3 linked regions of the Xenopus tropicalis genome follow. The protein of the gene in region 3 binds, or shares a complex with, the protein of the main gene of each other region. Links are inferred from orthologs where the notes say so. Each region holds a gene or a part of one and is shown on either strand. Other genes may lie near its edges.

Region 1 (4,286 bases), on a different chromosome or scaffold from region 3:
GGCCGACATTTTCTTACCAACTGAAGACACTTTGGGTCTCACCGCCGATACGAACCTGCTTGCGCATGAGTAGTTGTAGGTAGCAGGAAATCTGCTTCAACTGCGCATTCTCAAGCAGGTTAGGTGTCGGCTGTGAGACCCAAAGAGTCTTCAGTCGGTAAGATGTTGGCGAGGTACGCGGTTGCGCTTGTCTGCATTTTTAGCTAGCAGTCAGCAATAGGGACAGAGTGTAAACTTGAAAACAATGCGATATGGGAGAGGTGGGGGGGGGGTCTAGGCAAAGAGTGCCATCCGGAAGTAAAGTTCTCCTTTAAAAATATGTTAATCAAAGTCCCTGAAACAGCACCGTGTGCCACTATTCTAAGAGTTTTAGTTGCTACCTAGCCTACCCAATGGCAGGCACCTTACCAGACCATGGCCACCATACACCTTTAGCAGTTGAGCCCATGGATCTTTACTATCATAAAGCTGCTACAATTAGCTTAGAATAGAAAATACAGCATTTCTAGCCATATTCTTTTTTTTTAGGCTTTAGTTCTACTTAGAAATATCTTTAACAAATAAGTGCAGTAAGCAGCCTGACTTGTTTCTACACACTAGAAAAATTATAACTGCAATATAAACCGAACCCATTGTACTGGACAAAAAAAATATTAATATTTTAATGTAAACAAGTACTTATATTGCATATTAAAGTAAATTAATTATTCTATTATTGTTATGTCACACGAAACATTGGGCCATTAGAGTCTATAGTTGATATAATATTACCCTGACAGCGGAAGCAGTGTGGCAGATACTGCAAGCAAGGATTGCTTATAAACAGTAAATAGGTTCCCCTTTGAGGAGACTCAAAAATCTATAAAATCTTAAATATTCCTGAACTCTTAATGCCAATTTCAAAAATGAAAAACATTTTTGGAGGGGAAACAAACATCCTAAACATACCATTGCAACATAATTATACTTGCGTATAACTTGGCGGATTCTCTTCATTTGATCATCCAGGTTGCAAGCCCAGACTTCGCAAATTCGCTGGCTGAGGTCCACTGTTGCAGCTGGCATAGTGGGTCTGGGGGACTGACTCAGAGGCAGGCATCAAAATTTTGCAATTAGCTATTAAAGGGTTTCATAGGTGGTAGGCCGAGGCCGAAATCAGCTGCTAAATCTAAAATTAAAAGAAGAATAGTTTTTATTTTACTAACAAATAAAAAATAATATACCGGTATAATACTAGCAGGCAGAACATATCAGGAAATGCCAAGAAAGGGGAAAGGTGGCCCATGTGCATGCCACCACCTTTTGAACAATATGCACTTTGTGCAATACATTTTATATTAGGAATGGGGATCCTCTGACTATGGAGTGTGTTTGGTCCATGACATTACCCAAAAATTGATTTTTGTATTTTGCCCATATATGGTGATCCATTGTTAATATGAGTTAGGGGAAGTTGTGGTTGAAGCACAAAAGTGTATAAATAGAATATTTCTTCTCTCTACCCATGGTAATAGTTGTAAAGCCATCTTTTAAGTCAACACTGTGGCTTCTTTAGGGAGTAGCATAATTCTATTTTGCCTTAGTGCTCTATACAGCAAGGCCCAGCAATCTGAGCTTTCTGGCCCATCACTAAGCAGAGATAATGAACACAGCTGGTACTGTTAGGCTTCAACTGGGTAGTAATAATGTAGGCTAGCAGTATTATTACAACTCTTGGAAAGTGACCATACCAGAGTTCTATACATAAGAATCTCTAGGTGCCACCCTGGATGCAGACCATGTTTTATGCAGATCATGTGTTAAAGGGGCAGTATATGCCAATATACAACATTAGCAAAATAAATAGAACATATGCAAATAATACAGCATATCATTGAACATATCAACTGAAAAAATTGCATATTTCTTAGTGATAACATTATAATAAATCAGAAATGAAGCATTTGTTTTCTCCTATGCTTACTCTCTTACCATTAATTAGATGAGTTAGTTTATCTAGATATACTGAGCTCTGTATAAACAACCCTCATCCCATCACCCTTTGTTATGTCTAGTTTGGCTTACAGGTTGGCAGGATTTCCTTTGTGCACTGATAATGATCTGCCTCACAAAACATGCATGAGCTTCAGTTGACTGTTTAGCACAGAAAACATCAAAAACAATAAATGTTTCCTGATTAAAACAGACAAAAAGTATGATCAGCACAAGTTCTATTCATTGCAATCATAATGAACAAGGGGGTATACTGCCCCTTTAATAAAAGCCAGAAATGAATGGGGAGAAGCAGGTCTCCCTGAACTGTCTTGCGGGGTAGACAGGAAGATGTCCAGCTGCACTTGTTGCTGAAGCGTATCCTTTGGCTGATGAAGGATGCTGGGTAATGTAGTTTACGAGCTAGGGGTTCGCCACACAGCTGCCAATAAAAGCTGTTCAGGTGCAAGTATCCCTTCTGCGTCCCTTGTGATTGAACGAGCTGGAGGCTCCCCGACTGGATACTGGCCCATAGTCACGGTATGTGCGCTAAGCACCAATGCCTACTGATGCTTGTGACAGACAATACAGCCGCCTCTGGTTGTGCCCAGTGTGTGTGTGTGTGCCATCCCACTGCTCCGTATCCGTTCTGTAAGGCTCACAGCCCGACACTATCCCTGCCCTACCTAAGATAAGTCTGGCCGCTGCCGGTCTGTCACTTCACGACCGCGCTCCCAGGGCTCGCACAGGAGATTACCGAGGCCCCTACACGTCATGCGAGCGACGCGCCAGTCCCACGGCAGGTTCCTGCTAACCTCCTCCCGGACGCACTTGGATGACGTCAAGCCGCCACAAAGGCGTGGAAAACCATCCCCTTCTCAAGCTGGTAGGTGACATGATGTCACAGGCTGTGCGTCATACGGCGCGACCCATGGAGAGTGAAAGTAAGTGGCAACTGGGATTGTGCTTGATGGGATAAACACACAACTGTCTATCTAGTATGTGTGTGCAGGTATGTGACAACTGCGTGTATGGCTTCTCTCAGATATCATGGTGCGTAGGGAAGGTTACATACATGTTGTGTAGCACGGCAAGGGACAACTGGGGGTGTAAGAGGAAGTGACAGCCGACTGTATCTTGCGGTTTTATTTAATGTTATCTGAGTGAGGGTTGAAGGTTAATAAGGTACACTTAGAAATTGGGGGGGTGTTAATAAGGTACACTTATGAAGTGGGGGGGAATGTTAATAAGGTACACTTATGAAGTGGGGGGGAATGTTAATAAGGTACACTTATGAAGTGGGGGGGGAAGGTTAATAAGGTACACTTATGAAGTGGGGGGGAATGTTAATAAGGTACACTTATGAAGTGGGGGGGAATGTTAATAAGGTACACTTATGAAGTGGGGGGAATGTTAATAAGGTACACTTATGAAGTGGGGGGAATGTTAATAAGGTACACTTATGAAGTGGGGGGGAATGTTAATAAGGTACACTTATGAAGTAAGGGGAAGGTTAATAAGGTACACTTATGAAGTGGGGGGGGAAGGTTAATAAGGTACACTTATGAAGTGGGGGGGAAGGTTAATAAGGTACACTTATGAAGTGGGGGGGGAAGGTTAATAAGGTACACTTATGAAGTGGGGGGGGAATGTTAATAAGGTACACTTATGAAGTGGGGGGGGAATGTTAATAAGGTACACTTATGAAGTGGGGGGGAATGTTAATAAGGTACACTTATGAAGTGGGGGGGAATGTTAATAAGGTACACTTATGAAGTGGGGGGAATGTTAATAAGGTACACTTATGAAGTGGGGGGGAAGGTTAATAAGGTACACTTATGAAGTGGGGGGGAAGGTTAATAAGGTACACTTATGAAGTGGGGGGGGAAGGTTAATAAGGTACACTTATGAAGTGGGGGGAATGTTAATAAGGTACACTTATGAAGTGGGGGGGGAATGTTAATAAGGTACACTTATGAAGTGGGGGGGGAATGTTAATAAGGTACACTTATGAAGTGGGGGGGAATGTTAATAAGGTACACTTATGAAGTGGGGGGGAATGATAATAAGGTACACTTATGAAGTAAGGGGAAGGTTAATAAGGTACACTTGTGAAGTGGGGGGAATGTTAATAAGGTACACTTATGAAGTGGGGGGAATGTTAAAAAGGTACACTTATGAAGTGGGGGGGAATGTTAATAAGGTACACTTATGAAGTGGGGGGGAAGGTTAATAAGGTACACTTATGAACTAAGGGGAAGGTTAATAAGGTACACTTATGAACTAAGGGGAAGGTTAATAAGGTACACTTATGA
Region 2 (4,268 bases), on a different chromosome or scaffold from region 3:
TCTACTTGTCAGCTACGTCAACCTGACCTAGGATTGCTGCCTGTCTGGTTATTTGAATTTGAAAATTCAGACAGGACTCAGAAAAAAATGACGCTGTGTTCAGACAATCATCCCCATCTGGACTTATCATATTGAAAAGGCAGCAACTTTAACCAGGCCCTAGCTGCGGCCAGGGGGGACATTTTGTAACGCTCTCTGTAACGTTGCTGCACATGCACGAGTGCTCTTTTAAAGTTGCTAAATGCTGACTGTTTGCACATAATTTGCCAGAGAACCTGTAAAACCCAGGGGTAAAAGGTAAATTCCAACAAAATTGGGGGAGTTGAGAGTTATGCTTTTTAGGGTGAAGACACACTGAGCTACTAGTAGCAGCTTCTTTTTTGCACTACTAAACCCGAAAATCCCCTGCCATAGACAATACTGAGAATTGCCTCTGCTAAAACACACGTAGAGACAGTTATCAGTAAATGATCAGCACTGTCTATTTTAGTAGCCACGACAAGTAGCTGCTACTAGTAGCTCTGTGTGTCTTCACCCATATGAGGAGGGTTTATAACGTGGAGCCTGTGGGACTTCAAAATCTTCATTTTTGCATCTGGATTCAGAATGCAATGTAATGTAAATGTATAGAATTTTTACATTTTCCTTGTGCTTCTATATGGAAATAAGGGTTTGAAGCAATATCATGATAATGCAATATTTATAATTTTGAGATTCTACTCTCAAATATTATATTCAAATTCATACTTTAAAACTAAGTTTGGTTACTACAGTTAGAGTTATTACTACATACCAGGCTACTAGAAAGGAAATTGTGAAGGTAATTGCATTATTAATTGCTTTACTTCCACTTTCACCCCTAGGATCTCAGTAGTGTCAGTTTATACGCGTTTTGCACGTTTTCAATGCGTGATTAGTATACGGGTATAAATATACGTGTACATAACAAATTTCTTAACCAACAATTTTAAATTATATTATATCATATTTTATCATATGTTGACCAATACTGAATGTATAAGTTTTCAACGGCTGTTATTATTTGTACTGCAGATTATTTTTCTGCATAATGTAAATATTAATGTTTGAAAATATTTTAATGCCTTTATTTGGCTATAATGTTTAAAAAATCCCAATAAAAATGATTGAAACTACTTCCACTTTCGTCTTATTTACTTTTTGAGCTTATGTGCAACTTTTTTCTAGAATATAAATATCCTCCCCTTCAACACAATCCAATAACACAAATGGCATTTGAATACATAGTTCATAGTAATGCCTCACGAATTCTGCAAATCCAGTGCTGCGGCATAGCCTTCACGCATGCCCATTAGAGTCATTCAGTTTCCTTTCAACTGCGCATGCTCCGGGCCTACCTCGCTTGCTCGACTTCCTGGGTTCGGAACGCGTTTTTGATTGGCTTTTCGATCCTGACCATAGAGAGCAGTGGCTAGAGCGCCCGCCGAGTCAGCCATTGAACGTTACCGTAGAGTACGCACAAGTAGGAGATATACGTTCGTGCTGCCCTCTGCTTCGGGTCGGAGCCCGGGAGGTGAGATTGATCAGAAAGCCGGCTAAGGGGAGTTTTGTTTTTTAAATGCATCTGCTACGAACAGTACCCGGCAAGCGTCTCTCAAACCGTTTCCAGCCAATGTGCTGGAGACCTGCAGGATGGACATTTAAGATTTATTTCTAATATACGCTAGCCATCGGTAGCCTGTAGGCAACATCCTTATAAACCGCGTTTAATAATGTCATTACTTATAATCTGTGCTTAGTTCTTTAATTTGTGGAATGACTTACTGAAACTTGTGTCTTAGTCAGAATAGTTTATACTAGGTTGTAAGATATAAGGATATTAGGAGTCACAGTAAAGTTCCATAGACATATAAAGGAGCAATTGGCATATAACTCCTCCTTGGCTTCTAATATACTTATATTTTGCAACAGTAGGTGCATCATTTCCTATATTGTTAACAGGGAAATCTTACCACAAGGGAAGGGGGGTAGATAAATGTACAATGAATTTAAGAAATACTGTATTATTAAATGACAAAGCCAATGTTAATATATGTTTAATATATAGTGTGAAGGAAAAAAATGGCTCTTGTGTACTGTTACATGGGAGCCATACATATCCTGTAAATGATATCCTTATAAATGCTGCTTGGCAATTTAATTTCTGCCACATGGTTGCCAAAACTTGTGTCTTATAATTAAATACTTCTGTTGTAAAAAAGAAGGATATTAGAGGTCATCCCAGAGTAAAATGGCCTGTATAAAAGGACTTGGCCTTCGACCTCATGCTTTAATATAATTACATTTCTCAGTGACTTATAATATCCTTATATTTTACAATAGGGGGTACAATATTCATTATACACCATCTTCTGCAGTGAGATTATACATCATTCCCTGCCCCAGGGTACTTTCACATTCACATACAACGGTTTTCATTAGGGGCCAATTAACCTGCCTGTAGTTTTATTGCGGTGTGGAAGGAAACCACTGTAAGCATAAGGCAGTGCTGTGTCCATAAATGAACCAAGGACCTCAGGGCTGCAAGACAAAAGTGCTAACCACTGCAACAAAAATGTCCCAAGTTGTGTATTAGAACCAAAGGTAAGGTAAAAGTCAGTGGGGACCAATTAGCTAGTCACACCCAGTGAATACAATAGGTTACTTTTTACACCAGTCCGGCATTTCTCTATTGTAAAAAATGTTCTGGACTGCAGCCCCCCTACAACCAAGTTTTGAGCTTCTTAGTGAATTGTAGTAATCTGCGATCTAAACGACTGAGGCTTTTTTCTGTTGCTGATCTAAAGGGGTTAAACAAGGATGTCCTAATTGTGGCTGATCAGCCAAATTACTACTTAAAAGATGCTGGAGTTCTGCTTTGGCCAACTGACTGATTAAACTAAATATTTTATTGCATTAACTCCACACACCCTAACCATTGTGAAGTTGAAAAATGGACCAAATGGGATGAATAATCTATGTGCCCAGGCAGCTAACTCACCTGATGGATATGTAATATACTTATAGTGGTGTAGCAGTTTCATGAACTGTATTACTATAAATACTGCCAGGTGTTAGAATACTAATATACAAGGCAAGGCAAATGGTGGCAGGAGAACATTTCCCTGTATTCACCATCCGCAAGGCTAACAGGGTAGTGTTTCCCAGTGTTGCCTTTCCCTTACCTATAATTGTTTAATATGTCTTTTGATTGCAAATTCTTAATATGTTTGGGTTTCTGCAAGTTAACCTTAAAGTATATATTTTAAAATTTTTAGGTAAGAGACATCACCTCTGTCTGGGGAAAACACTGCTTGATTTTCTGTCTGTACCACACATCTCACTGGCCACCTTTCTGAATTCAAGATGCCTGCAGCAGTGGTAGATAATAGCCAAGTGATATGTGAGGTGTGGGCTGTCAACTTGGAGGAGGAGATGCATAAAATTAGAGAGCTTGTTCGCACTTATGGCTACATAGCAATGGTAAGTCTACATTAAACTGACACTTTGTCTGCGTGGGTATATTATTATATTACCCCCTTATCCCAGTTGCAATTGAGATGTATAGGGTTTTGGCTTTTGACAGGCCTATTGGGATTCATCAGGATTGCTGGTTGACTCTGACTAAAGGTGCCCATACACGTGAAGATTTGCTCGCTTGGCGATGTCGCCAAGCAAGCGGATCTTCACCTGATATCCCCACCTACGGGGGGGGAGATATCGGGGAACATGTAGGCTAATTTGATCCCTGGGGCCAAATGATTGAATTATAATGGCGGTCCCCGGTCCGACTAAATCTTTTAACCTGCCCGACCGTTGTTTCTGCCCCTACATGGCCTACAGTCGGGCCGTGTATGTGGACCTTCACTCTTTTTTGTGCACAAGTAGTGTCTGTGATCATAAGCCTTAAGTCTGTTTTAAGTATAAGTAGGGCTTGTGTCAAAAATGCATTGTGCACATTCCTTTAATACAAAAATATAATCAAGAGAGTTATAGAGATATAAAGGAAAATAACAACATATGTATAATTTAACCCCACCCTATCCCACAATGCTGCCTATGTAATATGCTAAGAGAAGGAGTTTGTTCTCTATACAGGAGTTTAACTGGTACAGGTGGTAACTACCCCTTTCCACAGCTGCTCTGAAGATCTTAGTAGGTAGGATCGAGTGTAAAGGTCAATGTGCCACAATGTATTTAGAGCCCTATTTATTGGATTTATATTGAACTTGGGTACATTTGTAAGCTTA
Region 3 (3,500 bases):
ATGACCAATTCCCTTTACAAAGGACTCATTTTTAATTCTCTGCAAATAAACTGTTTGCCTCTTTTTTTATAAGTTTTAGTAGCTATGCAAAACTACTGGAGCACCTGGCATACAGGGCAATTCATACTTTAACTAACACATAAGACCTTTAGTCATAATGCAAAGAAAAGCAGGATGTGATTAATGTTTTAACGTTAAGTGTCTAAACAAAAGTACAATACAGAAAATACGGATCAATAAATATATATATATGAACAAAAAAATCACTGCCAGTAGCCTTTAGTGACATTTGACACAAACAGCTGTTGTTTTGGCTGGTTTAGAATAACTAATCCTAGGAGATTAAACAATATCTAAAGGTTCTTTTGAACTGCCCTATCAATTCAAGCCTCTATTAAAACGTACAGGAATCTTGTAAAATTTGATATGTGAGCCCCTATTTCTTTACATTTGGGGGCATTTTTATTAACAGAGACAAACCAGCCAATTAGACAGTCACCTACAAGTTAGAAAACAACAGAAAAGATCTGATTGGTTTCTATGGGCAACATCACAGGCCCTATTGCTATTTTTTTCTTTTGACTATGCCAGGAAGTACACCATTAAAAATCTATCACAAAAACGGGGAAAACAATAGAATTTATTAGGAATGTCCCGAATCATGTGCTGCACCCCCCAATTGGAGCCCACTCATGGTGCATGCAGGGGCAAATTGATGTGGTTAATGAAAGAGTGTCCCAGATTACATCATAAAAATCAGGCTAGTAAATATATCCATAGCTGGATATCTCCATTTTCCATTTATTATGAGAGTTTTAATCTAATCGCTTTTTAATGGAGAGGATGACATCCCTTGCAGCAAAACCATTCCCAGTACTCACCCCTGAGCTATGCCTGCTGGGACTTTTCAAAGCGCTAGTCACCATTAAAAAAGCACTAAACTGTCTTTCCATCTTCTGGATAAGAAATCAAATAGCCTTTAACTGAATGGATAGTATCATGTTTTGCATGTTTCTTACCTGCATATACTTGTCCTTAATCTGCTCACATGTGGATATACAATTTGAAATGTAAAGGTGAATGAACTCAGGAGGAAGATCCACTGCTGTTGTAAGTCTTAAAAGAAGAAAAACAGTTTATAAAAAACAAAACAGATTAAGGAACAAGACCATATAGATGATAGGCTGCTTCCCTACTATTTAACTCATGGGTTTCTCCGCAGGTCTCCCTACTCATCGTAGAGTACTGTATTGTGTGCCACCTCAAGGTAGAAAGTACAAGAAAAAGGAGATTGGCCGCACTAGAAGCTCAAGTTCTGGGTACACTAAAGCTAAACAGCGTTGGGATACACAACAATAATAGCAACAAAATACATTTCAATCTTAAATTGCACTGTAAAAAAATTTAAGCAATGACAACATGATTTAGATATTAAATATTTATACTTCATTAAGGTATTTACATTTTTACATATACACTGAACCATACTGTTATACAGCAGCAGCATGCACTTTATACTTGGTATTTAACTTTGTCCATGAACTCTAACCAGCATACATTTAAGGGGCCCTGGTAAATGTTTTTATTTGATTGTATTTACACAAAACTTTACTTTCAATTTATGGCACCCATGCACATTCTTTGTTTTACTAAACACAGCTAAAAAGGCTGGTTTGAATAAAATGTATACACAAAGTAGAGTGTAAAAGCAGATATAATGCAAAAGAAAAACCACCCAACAAGCTTACGGCACTTAATTCTGTGGTGCACATTTAGGTTATAAAGTATCAGAACTAGGCCTATGAGATCAGGAAAAGCAATCCTGTCTAACGCTGGGCATACACGCACCGATAATATTGTACGAAACCTCGTTTCGTACGATATTCGGTGCATGTATGGCAACTCAACAAGGCAACCGATATTGCAAAAAAGCTGCAGATATTGGACGACTTGCCGATCAGGTGGGTTAAAAGATTTTGTGCCCGAGCAAAATCTATGTTCAGGGCTGGAGGTAGAAATCCTATTGTTTCTACCTCCATATCTGACGATTCAGCGCTGAACGTCAGTGGAGGGTTGGATCGAAAATCGCCACGTGTGAGGCCAGCTTAAGAATTGAGGTGAAAGCATTAAGACAAAACGAAACACAGCAGGAGTAAAATATATAGAAAGCAACACACCTTTGATATCATAAATTGGTGTGGAATCCCATGCTCAATGTGCATTAGTTAATGAATTTATAATGAACCAAGCAACAAAAGAAAAAATTAATTCAGAGTTGCAGGTCAGTATATTTGTCAGCAGATGTAAATGAACATGAATGACTTCTTAGGGCTCTGGCACACGGGGAGATTAGTCGCCCGCGACAAATCTCCCGTGTCTTGGGCGACTAACCTCCCCGAAATGCCATCCCACCGGCGAAAATGTAAATCGCCGGTGGGATGGTATACACGGCGGCGCAATTTCACTGAAATTGCACATGTTTCCTCTCGAAGCAACTTGCGCCGCTGCGTATGCCATCCCACTGGCGATTTACATTTTCGCCAGTGGGATGGCAATCCGGGGAGATTAGTTGCCCGTGAACAGGGAGTTTTGTTGCGGGCGACTAATCTCCCCGTGTGCCAGAGCCCTTAATGGTTCAGTGAGTGGCAGATTTAACAGAGGCTGACAAAGTCTCATACTTATTAACAATCTTGGTTATTTACCTTTCTTAATCATCTCTGCTAATAAAATAATTTAGCTTTAAGCAGGTACATTTCATTCTATTCTTTGAACCAAAAAAAGTGTACATATATGGGAAATCTTACTTTATAAAAATGGTTTTGCATCTTTTAAGAAAATGCTTTAAAAAGTACTGTATTGTGAAAAAAATATATTTTATGCCCCCTTCTGGTGATAAGAAGCAGGTGTTTTTGTGTCCAGCCTCTAAAAAATCTGCCCCCTCGGTTTATTGGTTTTTTTTGCAGATTTCCTTGGAGGCTTACTATATTCAATTCACCATGTTCTGTGCCTGCAAAATATTTTATTAGAAAAAGAAATAAACAAAGACTCACCTATTTACAACTTCCATTGAATGTAAAGACATATCCATGTTGACAAGCACAGAGAAATATTCTGTTATTTGACTTGATTGCATTAACTTGAGCAGCATTTCAATAGCAACCAACGGATTATTTTCTACCAAATCTGGGAGCTTGGCAGGAGTGAGGCCAATGTGGTAAACTAACTTAGGGTCTTTTTCTAATTCTCCAAGAAGCTAGCAAAAGGAATATAAGAAGAAAAAAAAACTGGTTAATCGTAATCTTAGTTTAACTCATCTGGTGTATATTATCATGGTAATACTGTGTACTTTATTACTCTTTACCTGAGTTTGCTGAGGAGAGGAAAGTGGGCTTTTGAATGCTTTAGCCATAATCCGCTTAATTTCCACTCCAGTGCTGTTCTTTACACACATGGATCGGTCCCATTTAATGGCATGATCTGGTTCTATAAGATTGAGCCAG

What was found. Proteins that work in one complex are often made in the same cells at the same time.
Region 1: cnot11 (region 3) and cnot7 share a complex: the UniProt entries of both Homo sapiens proteins name them as parts of the CCR4-NOT complex. The link is inferred for Xenopus tropicalis from reciprocal best matches to the Homo sapiens genes CNOT11 and CNOT7.
Region 2: cnot11 (region 3) and cnot8 share a complex: the UniProt entries of both Homo sapiens proteins name them as parts of the CCR4-NOT complex. The link is inferred for Xenopus tropicalis from reciprocal best matches to the Homo sapiens genes CNOT11 and CNOT8.

What each region holds. Positions count from the first base shown.
Region 1 is NC_030677.2:42,300,004-42,304,289, forward strand, and holds the start of cnot7 (CCR4-NOT transcription complex subunit 7), read right to left. Parts: upstream 2,801-4,286; 5' UTR 2,658-2,800; intron 2,651-2,657; exon of another isoform or gene 1,972-2,650; intron 1,169-1,971; 5' UTR 1,066-1,168; coding exon 949-1,065; intron 1-948. UniProt on the Homo sapiens protein: Has 3'-5' poly(A) exoribonuclease activity for synthetic poly(A) RNA substrate. Its function seems to be partially redundant with that of CNOT8.
Region 2 is NC_030679.2:19,855,449-19,859,716, forward strand, and holds the start of cnot8 (CCR4-NOT transcription complex subunit 8), read left to right. Parts: upstream 1-1,468; 5' UTR 1,469-1,552; intron 1,553-1,695; exon of another isoform or gene 1,696-1,719; intron 1,720-3,296; 5' UTR 3,297-3,384; coding exon 3,385-3,501; intron 3,502-4,268. UniProt on the Homo sapiens protein: Has 3'-5' poly(A) exoribonuclease activity for synthetic poly(A) RNA substrate. Its function seems to be partially redundant with that of CNOT7.
Region 3 is NC_030678.2:110,384,930-110,388,429, reverse strand, and holds part of cnot11 (CCR4-NOT transcription complex subunit 11), read right to left. Parts: coding exon 3,362-3,500; intron 3,254-3,361; coding exon 3,051-3,253; intron 1,117-3,050; coding exon 1,020-1,116; intron 1-1,019. UniProt on the Homo sapiens protein: Component of the CCR4-NOT complex which is one of the major cellular mRNA deadenylases and is linked to various cellular processes including bulk mRNA degradation, miRNA-mediated repression, translational repression during translational initiation and general transcription regulation.